Coturnix japonica: one gene and its partners. The main gene of each other region encodes a partner of the protein of the gene in region 4 in a complex. Links are inferred from orthologs where the notes say so. Each region holds a gene or a part of one and is shown on either strand. Other genes may lie near its edges.

Region 1 (3,588 bases), on a different chromosome or scaffold from region 4:
TCTTCCATTGAATTCAGCAAATCAGCTTTATCTGCAAGCATTTGTGATATGGGTTAGGGAGTTGGTTGTTGGAATGAATCTCCTTATTAGTTTTTATGTTATCTTTGGTAACACCTGGACAGTACTCATTTACCTTAACCACATCTTTAGCGTTGTGCTGCTTACTACTATTAGCTCTGTCTGGTATTAAAGATCACATGTATAGGTTCAAAAACCTTTTTTGGTTGTTGGTTGCTTTTTTAGGTATGAAGGTTATAGGTTTTTTAGAGACCATGTGTTTCTCCAGCTGGAAGAAATGCTCAAAATGCCTAAAAAGGATTTCAAAAGAGACCATGAATGTTATTAACTCAGTTTCTGCAGCACAAGGGATTGAGCATCACATCTCTTAATGTTAATTAATTGATTCTCATTCACCTTGACTGCTCCTGACCAGAAATAAGAGTTGTTCAGCGACGAACAACACAAAAAGAGCATTATACTTTACGGAAGTTAGAAATATCTAGTTTCATCACTAATGTTGAGCATAAAAGGAGATCTGGAATTGTATACAGTGAGAATGGAAATCTTTTATGAATGGAAAAGCACTACTCTATTTGAATGTTTCTAGTAATAGTTCCACGGCATAACTGGCGAATGGATGTACAAAAAGGCAGAAAAGCACTCCTCTAATTTTCAATATGCGTTCTGTTTTTATACTCAATAAAACTAAATTTTCTAGGCTTTATGTTACTCTACAAAATGGGCAGAAAATTATAATCTGTTGCCAATTAGAAATATATTGGAAAGGTGTATTTTTATATTCGTTTTTTGATTGTATGTATGATGTCCTTGATCAAGAAGAACATTCAGACGTACGAGTTGTATAAGACATGAATATGCCTTAGACTACATACTTATGAATTTGCAAATAACTACCTTAATACAAAGGGTTTGTAGCTAGAATTTTTAAAATTATATTTATATTTTTCTTTTGCACAAAACCAGTGGAACATTCTTTGGACAGTGGAGATGGACCTCCGATTCCTCCAGTGAAGCACTGTACTCCAGAATTCTATCGTGATCACCAGCACTTAGTAAGTAGTTAATAGAGAAAATCTCCTTCACAGGTGAAATATTTAGATATTTCAACTGATAGACACTACCTACAACTGAGTAAAAGCAAATAATTCATTATAGGTACATGTTAGTGTTTTGGCATTTATGTATGACTTTACAAATAAATACAATATTAGAACTATTTTTCAGCTCACAGGCACAATCCTGGCTCTTTTAATTGTCTGCTGTATCAGGAAATGTCTCCTTAGGTGCAGAAATAAGATCAGGATTCTGTGCAGTAGTGAGCAGAAGAAGCTGAATTTCTAATCCTTTTATTTATCTTCTGAAGTTATGTAGATAGTCATAATTATTTTTCTGTTTGTTCCATTTGTAAAGCATAGGTTGTGGTGCTGTAGGCTCAAAGAAAATAAAGAATTTTTTGTGATAGTGCAGTCATGTTAGTAGGATTACACTACAACTTAATTCTTAACTCATCTGTAACAGGCTCTGCATTCAGTAAAACATTTTCCATGTGTTGGGTTTGTTTGTTTGTTTTTTTTGTAACTGTTAGGAGACCTAATTTGCCAACATCAGCATGAGTCTAGCTTAATTTCTTTTTATATCTGTGTCTGGTTACACAGTATTTGATATGCTTCTTCAATATTAAATTTCACTTCCAATTCACGGGGATGTTATTACCAATTTATTATTAGTTTTTCGTTGGTAGAGTGGAAGGGGCAAAGTGGTTTTGAAGACACACTTCTTACATTAGTTTTTTTCCCTATTAACTTTTCTTGTCATCCTCATTACTTTGAAGATCAGTGATTTATTGATGCCTGCTGCTGCAGTTGCACTCACTCACAGGCTGGTTTATATTTCTTCTTACTCCCAACCACAATTAGGAAATGTAAGCTGAATTTTGTGTAATGTTTTCCTAGGACCTTTGGTGAGTATTACAAAAAACTTGTTTGGCCCTAATGGGGTATGTGTGGAAGGAGAAAAGCATGAGCAAGAGCTAACTCTCAATTTGAAATGCTGAATATGTCTTCCTTATAAAACAGGAAATAAGGCAAGCTATTACAACATCCTGTTAATAGTGTTGTAGGATCATTGATTGTGGAAGTTTGCAGAAACAGTTGCCTTTGAGATCTTTTGCAATATAAACATTTGCTGTATTAAAATAAAAAACAACAAAACAACAAACCAATACATATTTTACCTCTTCTGTTTTTGTGCCTTCTCAAGCTAGAAATCCTACATGTCATTAGTAATTAAGTTGGTGTATGGGGACTGGTGTTATACACAGACTCTGTTATTTCCTCACATAGTCTAAATGTACCAATTTTGAATCTTCTTCTCAGGCATACAAGCTGACATCAGAGCCCCGAGGCTTAGCACTTATTCTCAGCAATATCCATTTCAACAGTGAAAAGGACTTGGAGTATCGTTCAGGTGGAGATGTGGACTGTGCTTCCCTAGAACTGCTTTTCAAGCATCTTGGATATCGAGTGACTGTCTTTCATGATCAAAGTGCAGAGGTAAGGTGAATCCTACTACCACATTTGAGCCGGTATGGCTGAGTGGAATGGTGAGATGGAAATGGTCACTTATAAATAGAAAATGTGCCACAGCTTACCAAAAAAACACAAAGAAGCTTGAAAAGCAAAGAACGCTTGACATAAAGTAGGGTCACAAAGGACCAGAAGAGATACTAGTCTATACTAACCCCTCATAGTAGATGGGGTAAGATCTAGAACATACCTGGCATGTGTGTTAAAGCTGCAAATGAACAGGCTCCAGTTAATCCAGATAGCCTTTTAAAGTATTTTACTATTCTAAATGTTATTCTTTACAAATTTGACCTAGTTTTTGCAAATTTAAGTTTTCTTATCCTTTAACTGTTGGAGCAATTTTCACTCTTTCAGTCTGCTTTGCTAGAGAAGTGGCTGTGCTTTCCTTAAGAAAATTGATATTTTATGACTGACTGAATTAAGGCATTCTTTTTTTCTCTAGGTATGCACTTGCTGCCTTTTCCAACTTCATTTGCTCTTATTCCCTCTAAATCACTGTGAAACCAAGTGATACAAAACCTGCTAAAAAGTGTTTTATTCAAGCAGGCAACTTTCACTACATTATGATAAGGCTTTCAGTGTCTGAAGTACCAGTGTAAGCATCTGTTAAAGTGCTTCAATATCCCAGCCAAACTCCAGTGTTAGTATAAAACCTCTGTAAAGCAGTAGTTGCTGTCTCCTTTGTTAAATCCACATATGCCAACTCCAATATTTGTTGTGTCCCCCACCATTGACCAATATGGAAGAAGTCACAGAATCACATAGTCACCAAGGTTGGAAGAGACCTCCAAGATCATCAAGTCTAACTGTCCTCCTACCACCAATATTTCTACACCAAGCCATGTTCTGTAGTACAATACCTAAAACCTCCAGGTATGGTGGCTCCACCAGCTCCCTGGACAGCCCATTCCAGTGCCTGACTGCTCTTTCAGAGAAGAAATTTTTCCTAATACCCAACCTGAACCTCCCTGGCGCAACTTGA
Region 2 (3,588 bases), on a different chromosome or scaffold from region 4:
AGAAAGGGAATGGTGATTACTGACTACATACAGGTGTGAGCTCCTGCAAGCACGGTCCCAGCACCAAAACAACAATTTTAATGATGAATTCATGAAAGTAATACATTAAAATAAACCCGTGGAGACCCAGGCCCATATGCAGCTGCCCCAAAACGCAGTGGGAACCCACACCAACAGCACCTGCGGGCACTTACCCATGTACAGGTGGTCCTCACTGGGGTCATCCAGCACCTGCCAAAGGATGCAGAGAAGAAATGGAACACTGCAAGAAGCTGCCTCACAAAAGAAACGCTGTCATTTGTTGATTGTTCATCAGGCTGCCCAGTTTTTCCCCCCAGGGGTTCAGGGAGTTAAGGAGGGAGATGTTGGCAGGTTGTGAGCGCCTGCCCACCCTCAGGTCCTACTCGTGACATTTTAACTTAAAACCATGTGGGTTTGCTCTGCTAATCTCAGCTTCTGCCCACAAGGTGGGGGATAAATAAGAGGAAAGATGTTGTTGGAAATAAATATTTCAGACACACAGGAAGCGTCATCTGACTCATAAGGCAAATGAATCCCAGCCTGCACGTCCTTAATTCCTAATTTTCGTTTCCCCTGGACCTTTTCAGGCTGTCATTGGGTGGTGGGCAGCGTGGCTGCAGAACTCACAGGAACACCATTTCCTCCCCAGATCTGATCTGTGTCCTCAAGAGAAGTGAAATATTTCTGCTTTTCTATTTCCAAGCAGAAATGAAAAGGTGAGAGGAGGCAAGAAAAGTCCTTCTATGGTAAGGAAGACATCAACAGGACTGTCACTGTGATTCTGTGATTCTGTGCTCACCTCCACGAGCTTCACCACGTTGGGGTGGTCCAGCTTCTTCAGGATGGCAATCTCCTGGTAAACCTGCTCGATGGGGCCCCGGCGCTGCAGGCAGCCCTCTGAGGCACCTTTGGCCCCACGGGGTGGAGGGCGGCCTACAGGAAAGGCAAAAATAGGGTGGGCATGGCACCAAGTCCCTTCTGCTCCCAAGATACCACCCATCCCGGAGCTGTCACACCACTGGGTGCCACTTACGGGGGAAGCCTGCCTGCCTCATCAGCTTCTTCTTGGAGAGAACCTTCATTGCCTACACAGGGGAAAATTGGTGGGGTTTGGAAAAAAAACACCCCGGGAGCCATAGGCAGACCCATCCCTGTCCCTATCCCAATCCCAGCACATGCTGTGGGCAGCAGCACTACTCACATAGTAGGTGTTGTCATCCTCATTGTAGGCCAGCTTCACCACCCCATAGGAGCCCTAGAGAGGGACACGTGGGTGACCAACCAAAAAACACTCCAGCACCAGGCAGGCTCCTCTTCATACCCCAGGCGAAGCAGGGGGTCAGTGGGGAGCATAGTGCCCTTGGACTGGCAAAGAAAAGGCTCAGATACCCTATTTTGTTGGAAAGGGGAAAAATAATGCTAATTTAAAAAATGAATCAATGGGCATCACGCTGAGGAGCCAATGGAGATGCCATGGTGAAGGGCTGACCTCACAACTGATGTAAGATTTAAAAGCAAGAGCGAATCCAGCACATTCCCACCCCAAATTCCCACTCCAACCCCAAAGCCGGAGAATATTCACCTTCCCAATCTCATCCTTCAGCTTGTACTGGTTGAGCTGGACACAGTCCTGAGGGAGAGAAGGCGAGTCAGCCAGCAGCCCAGGCCTCGGGCCAGAGTTTGTTAGCAATAAACCACACGTAGCCACACACCGCCTTGTTTTTATAGACAGCTAATTACTGGCGTTGAGCACCAGGCAGGCAGCACTGTCTGCTCATGCAAAATGAGAGCACCAAGGGCAGCAGTGGCAACTGGCACCTGGGGGCTTAATGCTCACCCAGCACCAAATGTTTTTGTTTTGTCCTGCAGATGTTCACTGCCTGCATTCTGTGGGTGCTGAGAAGGCTGTGGTGGGCAGTGCAATTATCCCCTTAAAGCTTTACTGAGGTCTCTTCCTTTTCAAGGGGAAAACAAACAAACAAACAAAATCTCCATTTCCTTCATGGAGCTAAAGAAGTGAATCTGACCACACGCGGATACATGTTAAGCATGGACAGGCTGTGACTTCCAGCTGCTCTACTCTCACGAAGCACATTTTCCAGAGCTGGTAGCATTTGGGATATATAGAACATGCACTCCTACCGCAGCATTAACCCTGGGAGATGCTCTGTGCTATACATGGGGCTGTCCCCATGGCTGGGGATGGACCAGAACCAACACCCTCCCACTATCCACAGGGCTCCATCCCAAAGCACCAAGCAAGAAGCAGCGCAGCGAGACACGGAGACAGGAGCAGAGCCTCACCTGCAGCCCAGTGATGGAGACACGGTTGGATTCCACTGTCGGCCGCCTTGGCAGGCGCGGGGATGAGTGTGGGGATGTCACTGGTGAGTAGGGGAGGGATGGGTAGATGAAGCGCTCGCTGTCACCACTTCCAGGGGAGCGCGCGGGGTGCGAGCGCTCCTGCAGGGACAGCTTTCGGCCGGAGAGGTTCAGCTTCGCCCTGGGCTCCCGGCTCTCCTCCACAGCAGCCACGCTCATCTCCTCCTCACTTGCTGTTGCCTCGCACTCGGTCACCACTATGAGTGACTCCATGGTGGGGTGGCCGGCACTCAGCGGCAGCCCGGGCCCTCTGTGGCGGTGTGGGGGCTGAGGGGCAGCAGGGGAGCTGCCGGGGATGCAGGATGGCATGGTGAGGTTGCCGGCCTCATCCCGGCCTCTGTCAGTGCTCCGAGGGGTACAGACACCTGTAAGCACAGTGTCAGGGGGATCCTACATGAAGCAAGCCACTAATATTACATTATTCATGTAATAAATGGCTTCACCTAATATTAAGTAAAATATTAGTAAGAGTGGAGGAAACTGGGTGGCACTGAGCAGAGTCCTCTCTCTTCAACAGCACTGCTATCACTGTGCTCACCCCTGAACATAGAATCCCAGCCACCTCCCCTATAGGAAACCCACAGCTGGGGCTGCAGTATTTTACACAGGTCTGCACTATGTATGTATACACACTGCTCAGTTCACTGCTGCCCTGCACAGAGTGGGCAGATCTTGCCAAACAGCCCCTGAAAGAGGTGCACTGAGCCCTTACCAAGCACGAGCTGTGGGATCTGCCCTGGGGCTCACTGCCTTCACCCACAGCACAGCATTCACTGGGGATTCTCCTGCTTGCCCCGAGTTCCCTACAGCCTCCTTTGCAAAAATGGGATTTTAGCACCCTGGAATAAAAAGGAAAACAATGGTATAAGCAGCAGATATGTACGTACTTTTAAAGGAAAAGAAATTGGTTGGTTGTAATCCATCCCTGTGTGATGCTGGATACTTGACACTGAACATATGTGCTGGTGGATGGCAGCAGCACCGTGAGCCTGATCCATGAGCAGGGCTCCAGCAGGTCTGCCCATGCCACAGCAAAGCCATCACCCTTCCCTCCTGCACCCCAAAAGGGGCAACCCAATAAGAACCCAAACCAGCCCAGGGGCAGCGCTGAGGACCCAGCATTGCTGGGTGTTCCACTCCGCACGAGGCAGTGGGTTAAAATTAGCTCCGTTCTCCTGCGCTGAA
Region 3 (3,588 bases), on a different chromosome or scaffold from region 4:
GCACATGATTTACTTTTATCTCTTATGAACAGACAGAATAGATTTTGATGGGAAAAAAGGCACTCGTAAGCCCTCCCTGATTTACATCTCAAATCTTTCTGGGGAGACTAACAGCTTCTTTTTTGCATTTCGGATTCTTGTGAGACAAGTACAGAATTGCACTCGTCATTTTTGTTTGGAGATGAAGACCGAACAGTTATGAAAACGCTCTTCATTCTGTTTCTCCACAGTGACATCTTGGATTGACCAACTCAACCTCACTTCTCCTAACCCACAGGCACAGACTCCCAGGCAGAGTGCTGTGGAAGGAGGGGCAGTCTGGCACAAAGCCTGAACTGGATAACTTATGGCATGAGATTATGCAGGGACTGGAGAAGGTGCAGAAAATACAGCTGACAGATACTGCATTTGGCACGCCGTCCTTTTTCAATAACACTGCATCTCTCCTCCTTGCATCTAAATCAGCCTTGTCACAGTGTATGGCTTGTCCTCTATTTTTTTGGAGATACATAATTAAAGTACTATGCTATATTTCTATTGATTTTTGCAGACTATTTTCTGTCTGGACTACAGGGTGTCTGTCCCTCAAGGTCCCTTAGGATGACCAATCACATCCTCAAAGACAACAGGATATTATGGAGCCCACAGACAGCTGAGACTCAGCCCTTAGACAGACGGCCTTGCAGGGACATGGGGCAGAAAAACACAACGTGAAGCAGAACAGCAATCAAAGCCCCACTGATTGGTTTCCAGTGCCCTCCAACATTACCTGTAGTGAACCTTGGCTTAGTGGGTGGCTCCTGTACGGACATAGGGAAGGTAGCCGAGGCGGGTGAGGACTGTGCACGGGACAGGGGCCGATGGCCTCCAAAGGAGACGGGCATGCCAGCTGCCTCCAGCGATGCCTGGTAGTTTCTCAGCTGGTGAATGCGCTGCTGCTCCAACAGGAGGGCTTGCTGTGGGGAAGAGAAGCAGGTAGCTACCAAAGGTAGCCTCACAAAAGGTCCGGCATCGGCAGCATGTCTCACATCATGTTTATTTATTCTTACTAGAGAAATGAGGCCTACATGTGATTGCATAAATCTAGGAAATTGCTTTGCACAAGCACGGTTGGCAGTGGTATCAACCCCTCAAGGCAGCATCGTTATGAAGACAGTGCTCCTCAATTTGGGACTGGAGATGTCTCTGAGCTGCAGGCAGTGACATGTGGGGCCCACAAGCCAGCCCCGCAGTGCCAGGGAGACAGCAGCAAGCAGCACAATGCAAATGTCTATGCGGAGCAAGCAATTTGCACCTGATTCAGACATTGCAACAGCAAGCTTGGCACCAGTCTGCCTTCCCTAGCCAAGGGCTGTGGATTTACTCTGAGAGCAACACGCTGGCAGTGCTTCAGCAATCTGTTTTTGGCTGCAAGGGCTGTGCAGGGGTTACACGAGGCTCAAGATACAGTCAGGCACGAAGGGCTGCAAAGACAAGCTCAGCACTTCAGGTCCCTCCAGAGAATTGTAACTTTCTCACTCATTAATGCTACCACAAACAGTGTTTTCTGGGAGACTGCCATGTAATTGGGAGGTAAGGCTACGCTACATGGTTACTGGATTTAGTGCCTCTGGTCTTTCCCATCAAAATGGAGCAAACCTGTGATGCCAGGGATTTGCATTGCTGAAGAAGGAATCCCCTCCAAAAAAACCCCTTTGACACTCCAACCCTTATCCAGCCCTTCTCTGCAGTTGTTAATTTGTTCTAGAATGTAAGAGTTACAAAACAAACTCCTCTGCTAGGATGCCTTGCATGAGCGCGTTCTCTGCTAGTATTCAGTGCTCAGAAGATGTTGAGGGTAGTCACAAAAAGCCAAGTCCCAGATGGTCGCTGTGATAATATGAGGATTTACTTTGTAAAACAATTGCACTGCTTTCTTGCAAGGCTTTTTCACACCTCCCTCTGTCCTCTTACAAACATCAAGTCCTGTCCTTCTGTAGTCTGCATGCAGCTACTCTTAGGGACATGTCTGCAAGCACAAGCCACATATGTCCAACTAATTTAGCACTAACCTTTCCATTCTCTACACCAAAAGGGAAGCTTGGTCCCAATATGATGATTACAACCCACCGTTCAAAGGCTGGGAAAATCTTGAAGCTATTTTTTAGGGTCAGTTGTAACCAGCAGTAATTTCTGACACCCACTCCTAGCAGATGTAAGTATCTGTGAGGTGAGGCTGGTTATCATCTTGACTTTCATCCACATCATACATAGATTGAACCTGTCCCTCCAGATGCCATTAAACAACTCAACTACAGGAGCTTACCTGGCGGAAAAGCAGCTCCTGCTCAGCCTGCCTCTGCCCAGACTCCAGCTCCTGCTGCGGCTCAACTTCCTCCTCATCGCTCTCGATGGGTTCTTGCTTTACCTGCACCACATTAGCCAGCCCTGGGACATCCTTTTGGCTTGAGACTCTGTCGCTGTATGGCTCCTCCAAAAGGGCTTGGTGTTCTCGAAGCTCTTCTTCTGTCTCCTCCGGGTGGCTTTCATGCTGGCGAGCTGGCTCATTGGGTTTTGATATTATCTGTAAACATCCAGGAGGTTAATTGATAGTAACATTTAACTCACTGCAGGTCAAGTTGACTGTGCTCTCCTGAAAAAGCCAGCTTCATGAAAAGAGAGATCATGACCTACAGCTCCTACATTATAAACAAGGTCTAAAACAACAGAAAGGTCAGTTTAGTCTCAACATTAAGTGCTATCAAGGAAATACTACATCCTGAAGACACTAAACTTACAGCACCTTTACAGAAACCAACTGCAAGAAGAGCATCATTCTAACCAGACCTTCCTAACAAGAGGTAGCGAGCTTCTCCAAACGTGCCTGCTAAAACAGAGGGAACAATGTAATTTTCACTGTAATTCAACAGGCTTTAAGCCTTTTGCAAATAGATCAATGAGGTGAAATTCTGGTCCCAAAGCGCTCATGACTTTTATTTGGAGCAAAAATGTATGTGTACTATTTTTAAACCTAGCAAAGGTAAATAGATTAATGTCCTTTCTTTTAAACAGTTCAGACTGTACTCGTTTCATAAGCTTATAAAAAAAAAAGGCTGAACTTTGAAAGCTTGTCAGGGCAGAGCTTTAATAGGGATTAGGTCATTGGTATGAAAAGCAATATTGATTTTAAATCTAATAAAGCTAAATCAAAACACAGTTATTGAACACATGCAGGAGTGACTACTTAAAAGTAACTCACTCTTTGAAGATCAGTGACTCAAATCTGAAAATAAGCCTTTCTCCCTAAATGTAAGAAGAGAAGCTTTGCCATATAACTTCAGCAAATCTATTCAAAGAAGATTTAGGCATAAAAAAGCCACATTAAGGATTAATCGCCTGAAAGTATCACACTAAGGACAACAAGAAACTGTTTATAACTACAACAGAGGGTGTCTCAGAACTGGGGTTCAGAACTTCCCTTATCATTGGTGCACTGTAAGGATGAGGATGCAGGGCTAGAACTTAATAGCACTTGCAGATTGCTGAGTTTTGTATCTCTCAGCTCCTGAAAGAAGCATAATAAGCAGAAGGGCCTTATACTGCTTAGCT
Region 4 (4,347 bases):
CTGATCTCATCCCTGCATGCAGGGCATGCAAGGGACGTGGTCAAGGTTGCACATGTGCAAGGCCAGCTCACAGCCCAGCAACATCTCCCTCTGATCTCTGGCACTTGTGGCTACAACCTGCAGCTAAAACTTACACAGGAGAAACTACTGTGACCCAGCCCATGGCTGCAGCGAGGAGCATTTGGTGATTGAGCAGACAATGAGAGCCCCAGCAGACTGCTCTCTGTATATAACAGCATCACCAACAGCCGTTCAGCAACAAAGCAGCTAAACAGCACGGCTGGATGCTGTGCAGCGACCTACCAGGTAACCACAAACTCAACAATGAGATCAAGCTGCAGCAAAATCGAATTCTAATGCAGGTAATGAGCACACCTGACACAAGGGAAGCAGCTTTGTATTTCTCAGCACCATGTGCAGGAAGCAAGCAGACAGCAAGCTCCTTGTGCAGGGAATGCAGGCATTGAATGCAGGCATTGCCATGCTGCTCCCAGGAGGACGTGATGCAGCCCTGCTCCTGCATTACCTTGTGTGGATGCAGCCTGCATGCTCTCTGCTACCACCTGGGTGCAATGCAGCTCGCAGCAGCGCATATGACATCACCGTGCGTTGCTACGGAAATGAGTGCGAGGTCACAAGCCTGCTGCACAGCCAGAGCTGGGGGATGGGGAGGATCAGGGATAACCAAGTGTGACATGCCCAGTGCCGTGGGACCGAGCCGGAGTTTGGGCAGCGCTGCACTGAAATGAGGAACAAAGCTCTGTGTCTTTTGTCTGCTGGGGAGGGAGGCGGCGGCGCTCCCGCTGGGAGTCATTTTCTTAGGGCCGAACAACGTGGAGAGCTGATAAGCAGCATTAAAGCCGGTTACTGTTTCACCAGGGCCGGGGAGGACTAAAGGGAAAAAATGCAAATATAATCTGTAACAACAACGTCGGGTTAGATTCAGATCCCTGGGATGCAAGCTAGAGAAATTCACAGGGCAGAAATATGGCCACAAACCCCAGTGTTAAATCCATGGGCATATCCCTGCTGGCTTTGTGCTAATGGCCGCACCATCCATGTGCAATGAGCTGCTCACACAGCAGGCACTGCCTTAAAATGGATAGATGCCGCCATCGGAAAATAGTATAAAATCCATAGGGCAGCAGTGGAATAGCCCGGCTGTTCTCATATGCTATTATCTGGTTTCAATTATCCATATTTCATTTCTTGAAAAGACATCTCCTCCCTCCTCCCCTCTCTGGGGCTGCGATGATTTTTGTCTGCTTGATAAACGCAAGGTTATTGTCAAAATGGTGCAACACAGCCAACAGGGCTGCATCCAGCAGACTGCGACACTCCTAGATCAGCATTCCCTCCTCATCAGCAAGGGAGGACACCCCAGCTCCTCTTAAAGGTTCAGACCTGACTAAGGAGACAAACATAAAGCACAGTTTTCCCCTTTAAAGCACCCCCTCCCTCCCTCCACCCAGTCTAGCCTCTCTGCAATATGACAAATGCAGAATCTTCTGGAATGACTTGATCCTGCCTCCCACGATTGCTTTGTTTGCAAGATCAGATCAGAGATATGGGCTGGTTTTGTTGGTTTTTCTTTTTTTTCCCCCCTTCTTCTTCTTTTTTACTTCTTACATTGTCAAAATGTCAGCATTGAAGGGGAGCGTTCAGTGTCACAAATCAGATCAGCCTGCTATATGCAGAGTCTTTATTTTAAGAGCGTGAAATGAATACAACATGACTCAATTCATAAATCTCGAAACAAGTGCAGCAAAAAAGATATGGAATAAATCAGAGCCCTGGCAGCTAAAAGCTCAGCTCCATGGGGTCAGGGACACGGCAGCCGCACCGGGGAAGGGATGAGCGGCAGCACAAGGGGCCAATGGGGCAGCAAAGCCCCACAGCCTCACCCCATAGGGCTGGGAGAGGGGGAAGCATGGGCAGTGCTGCACCCCAAGGGTGGCTCCCACAGCAGGACATGGCAAAGGGGGCACGGTGGGGGGCAATGGAATGGGGGTCAGGGGACACGGATTAAGGCAAGGTATAGGAGTTTGTGCACAGCACAATGGGTGGAGTACAGGGTGGGTTTGGAGCAGAGGGGACACAGATGGAGGCTGGAGACAGGGTTTGGGGCAGAGATGACACAAATGGAACATGGCAACGTAGATGGGACAAGGGATGGGGGATTGGGTAAGGGATAAGAGAACACGGATGGGGCGCAGCACAGAGCGGGAGAGCAAAGGGATGGGGTGGGGGATGGGAAACACAGACTGGGTTAAGGATGGGGATCAGGGCAAGGGGGTGGGAGGTACAAATAGGACAGAGCCCATAGCGGATGGGGAAGGAAACGGGACACAGATACGACACAGTATATGATGGAATAGGCAGGGGATGGGGATCATAGCGGGGTGTGGGGGCATATAAATGAGGCACAGCGTAGAATGGAGGGGACAGAGAGCGGGGGGAAAGGGGGCAGGGATAAAGGACACATATAGGGCACAGCACGAGGGGCTGAGGATCGGCACAAAGGGACGGAGCGGGGACACGGCGGGGAACGGAGCGTGGGGGGGAAGGGGAACGGCTACTCACGTTCTTCATGGCGGCCGCCATGTCGTCGTAGCGCTCGGCTTGCTCGGCCAGCCGGGCCTTCTGCACCAGCTGCTCGCGGTCCACCATCTTCACGGGGCCGGGAGGGGAAAAGGGCGCGGAGACTGCGGGAGGAGGAGGAGGAGGAGAGAGGAGGAGGAAGGAAGGAGGAGGAAGGAGGAGGCGGCGGCTCCTGGCGCTGCTGTGGCGGTGACGGCGGCGGCGGCGGCGGCTGCACCCGGAGCTGTGCGCGCGCCGCGGGCCACCACAACCCCCCTGCGGCCCCGCCCCGCCCCGCCCTGCGCCGCTCCGCCCCCGCGCGGGGCACGCCGGGATTCGTAGTCCTCCTCGTAATATCCCTCCTTGCTCCGCTCCCCTCTTAGGACTCCATTTCCCAGCGCGCCCCGCGCGGAGATACAGCCCCTCCCGCCGCGCGCCACAAGATGGCCGCCCCTCAGGCCGCCCCCTCAGTCCCGCCGCCCCGCTGCTGATTCACCGCCCGCAGCGCCCTCAGCCCGCGCGGCCCAACAGCCCCCACAGCAGCCCCACACCTTCCATAACGCCCATCCAACCTATAAACCAGGCAGAAAGGCCTGCAGCACGCACACAGCGCTGCCCTGCGTGGAGATATGGCCGCTGCCTGTGGAGATGTGGCCGCCATCAGCACTGACATGGCTGCCATACAGTGTGCGCACCTCAGTGCTGATCCATGGACTGCAGCCTGCCCTCAGTGCTGGGAGCGCTGTGTGAGGGGGTCTGGGAGCTGAAAGAACCCATGGAGCCATTTAGTACATCCATTGCTCTGTTGGATAATGGCACGTCCATCAACATGGATAACATTGGAGTGAATAAGAGAAGCACAGAAGGTGACATCCCTTGTGGTATTTCAGGTAGTTTAGAAACACCATCTGGGCCCACCAGGGCTGCCCACCACCATGGGTCAGGTCTGCAGCCTGGCCCTGGGGCAGCACTGTGTGTATGAAGGTTGGTTTAGCACATGGATCCCTGGGTCTGGTAGAATTGATGCTCCTCACAATTGTGGCTGGCCCTACTGGTCACTGTATCCTATTTATGGGGCTGTGTGTTTGATCCAGATTGAGACAGTGCTGATGTATTGCTGTCAGTGCACCGCAGCACTCGGTGCTTTTCACAACGTGGATGACATTCTTCCCCACCTCAGGTCAGGGTGCGATATCCATCACGCTGTAAATAATGTGGCCATAATATGGAGCTGCAGCATTCCCTGTGCACCATCCCTGTAGGAGAACTCACAGAGACCCAGAGGATGTGGGTCTGTTCTGCAGATGTCCCTGAAAAACCCAATAACCCTCATTCCACCCGCAGCTTTAAAATAGCTCTGGAACACTTGGATGTGCCACTTTGTTAATTCCCATGGCCTGGAAGACAAGTCCTCCTCCTCACGTTCTCTTCCCTTCCCTGCTATGTGCTGCAAATGCCTTCTGACACCGCAAGGGAAGGCAGTAAATCCTCTCTGACTGGGAGACTCACTGAGGGCTGCTTCAAATTGTCATCCTGAGCTGAATGCGGGGTCATAGGGGTGGTGGCATTCATGAATTGGGACTGGCTCTGAGCAGCTGGGACAGGGCCTGCAGTGATGTAGGATGCCCCATGGGGGCATGAAGGAAGCGGGGACACAGAGCTTGGGGTCAGAGGGATGGGAAAGAGGTGGGGTGGCTGGGATGGAGGTGGCTGGAGGTACAGGTGAAGGTGAGGATGGAGGAGGAGGATGGAAAATGGAGGTGGAGG

The links.
Region 1: the proteins of YWHAG (region 4) and CASP2 are in contact, whole or in part, in a crystal structure (PDB 6S9K), measured with the Homo sapiens proteins. The link is inferred for Coturnix japonica from reciprocal best matches to the Homo sapiens genes YWHAG and CASP2. Residues at the interface, in NP_036611.2 of Homo sapiens: Glu15, Asn43, Val47, Arg57, Arg61, Lys125, Arg132, Tyr133, Pro170, Gly174, Leu177, Asn178, Val181, Glu185, Glu213, Asp214, Lys217, Asp218, Leu221, Ile222, Leu225, Asn229, Leu232, Trp233; in NP_116764.2 of Homo sapiens: Asp137, Leu138, Ser139, Leu140, Pro141, Phe142, Pro143, Val144, Cys145, Glu146, Leu150, Lys152, Lys153, Leu154, Ser157.
Region 2: the proteins of YWHAG (region 4) and CAMKK2 are in contact, whole or in part, in a crystal structure (PDB 6Y6B), measured with the Homo sapiens proteins. The link is inferred for Coturnix japonica from reciprocal best matches to the Homo sapiens genes YWHAG and CAMKK2. Residues at the interface, in NP_036611.2 of Homo sapiens: Ser46, Val47, Lys50, Asn51, Arg57, Arg132, Tyr133, Gly174, Leu177, Asn178, Val181, Glu185, Ile222, Leu225, Asn229, Trp233; in NP_001257414.1 of Homo sapiens: Leu99, Ser100, Leu101, Gln102, Glu103, Arg104.
Region 3: the proteins of YWHAG (region 4) and HDAC4 are in contact, whole or in part, in a crystal structure (PDB 3UZD), measured with the Homo sapiens proteins. The link is inferred for Coturnix japonica from reciprocal best matches to the Homo sapiens genes YWHAG and HDAC4. Residues at the interface, in NP_036611.2 of Homo sapiens: Asn43, Leu44, Ser46, Val47, Lys50, Asn51, Arg57, Phe122, Lys125, Arg132, Tyr133, Gly174, Leu177, Asn178, Val181, Glu185, Leu221, Ile222, Leu225, Asn229, Trp233; in NP_001365345.1 of Homo sapiens: Ser348, Pro349, Ser350, Leu351, Pro352, Asn353, Ile354, Leu356.

What each region holds. Positions count from the first base shown.
Region 1 is NC_029516.1:69,870,680-69,874,267, reverse strand, and holds part of CASP2 (caspase-2), read left to right. Parts: intron 1-984; coding exon 985-1,073; intron 1,074-2,396; coding exon 2,397-2,573; intron 2,574-3,588. UniProt on the Homo sapiens protein: Is a regulator of the cascade of caspases responsible for apoptosis execution. Might function by either activating some proteins required for cell death or inactivating proteins necessary for cell survival.
Region 2 is NC_029530.1:4,667,088-4,670,675, forward strand, and holds part of CAMKK2 (calcium/calmodulin-dependent protein kinase kinase 2), read right to left. Parts: intron 3,243-3,588; 5' UTR 3,116-3,242; intron 2,769-3,115; 5' UTR 2,713-2,768; coding exon 2,326-2,712; intron 1,652-2,325; coding exon 1,604-1,651; intron 1,277-1,603; coding exon 1,223-1,276; intron 1,107-1,222; coding exon 1,055-1,106; intron 955-1,054; coding exon 821-954; intron 232-820; coding exon 195-231; intron 1-194. UniProt on the Homo sapiens protein: Calcium/calmodulin-dependent protein kinase belonging to a proposed calcium-triggered signaling cascade involved in a number of cellular processes. Isoform 1, isoform 2 and isoform 3 phosphorylate CAMK1 and CAMK4. Isoform 3 phosphorylates CAMK1D.
Region 3 is NC_029522.1:3,024,556-3,028,143, reverse strand, and holds part of HDAC4 (histone deacetylase 4), read right to left. Parts: intron 2,564-3,588; coding exon 2,306-2,563; intron 957-2,305; coding exon 770-956; intron 1-769. UniProt on the Homo sapiens protein: Responsible for the deacetylation of lysine residues on the N-terminal part of the core histones (H2A, H2B, H3 and H4).
Region 4 is NC_029534.1:3,142,808-3,147,154, reverse strand, and holds the start of YWHAG (14-3-3 protein gamma), read right to left. Parts: upstream 2,854-4,347; 5' UTR 2,671-2,853; coding exon 2,584-2,670; intron 1-2,583. UniProt on the Homo sapiens protein: Adapter protein implicated in the regulation of a large spectrum of both general and specialized signaling pathways. Binds to a large number of partners, usually by recognition of a phosphoserine or phosphothreonine motif.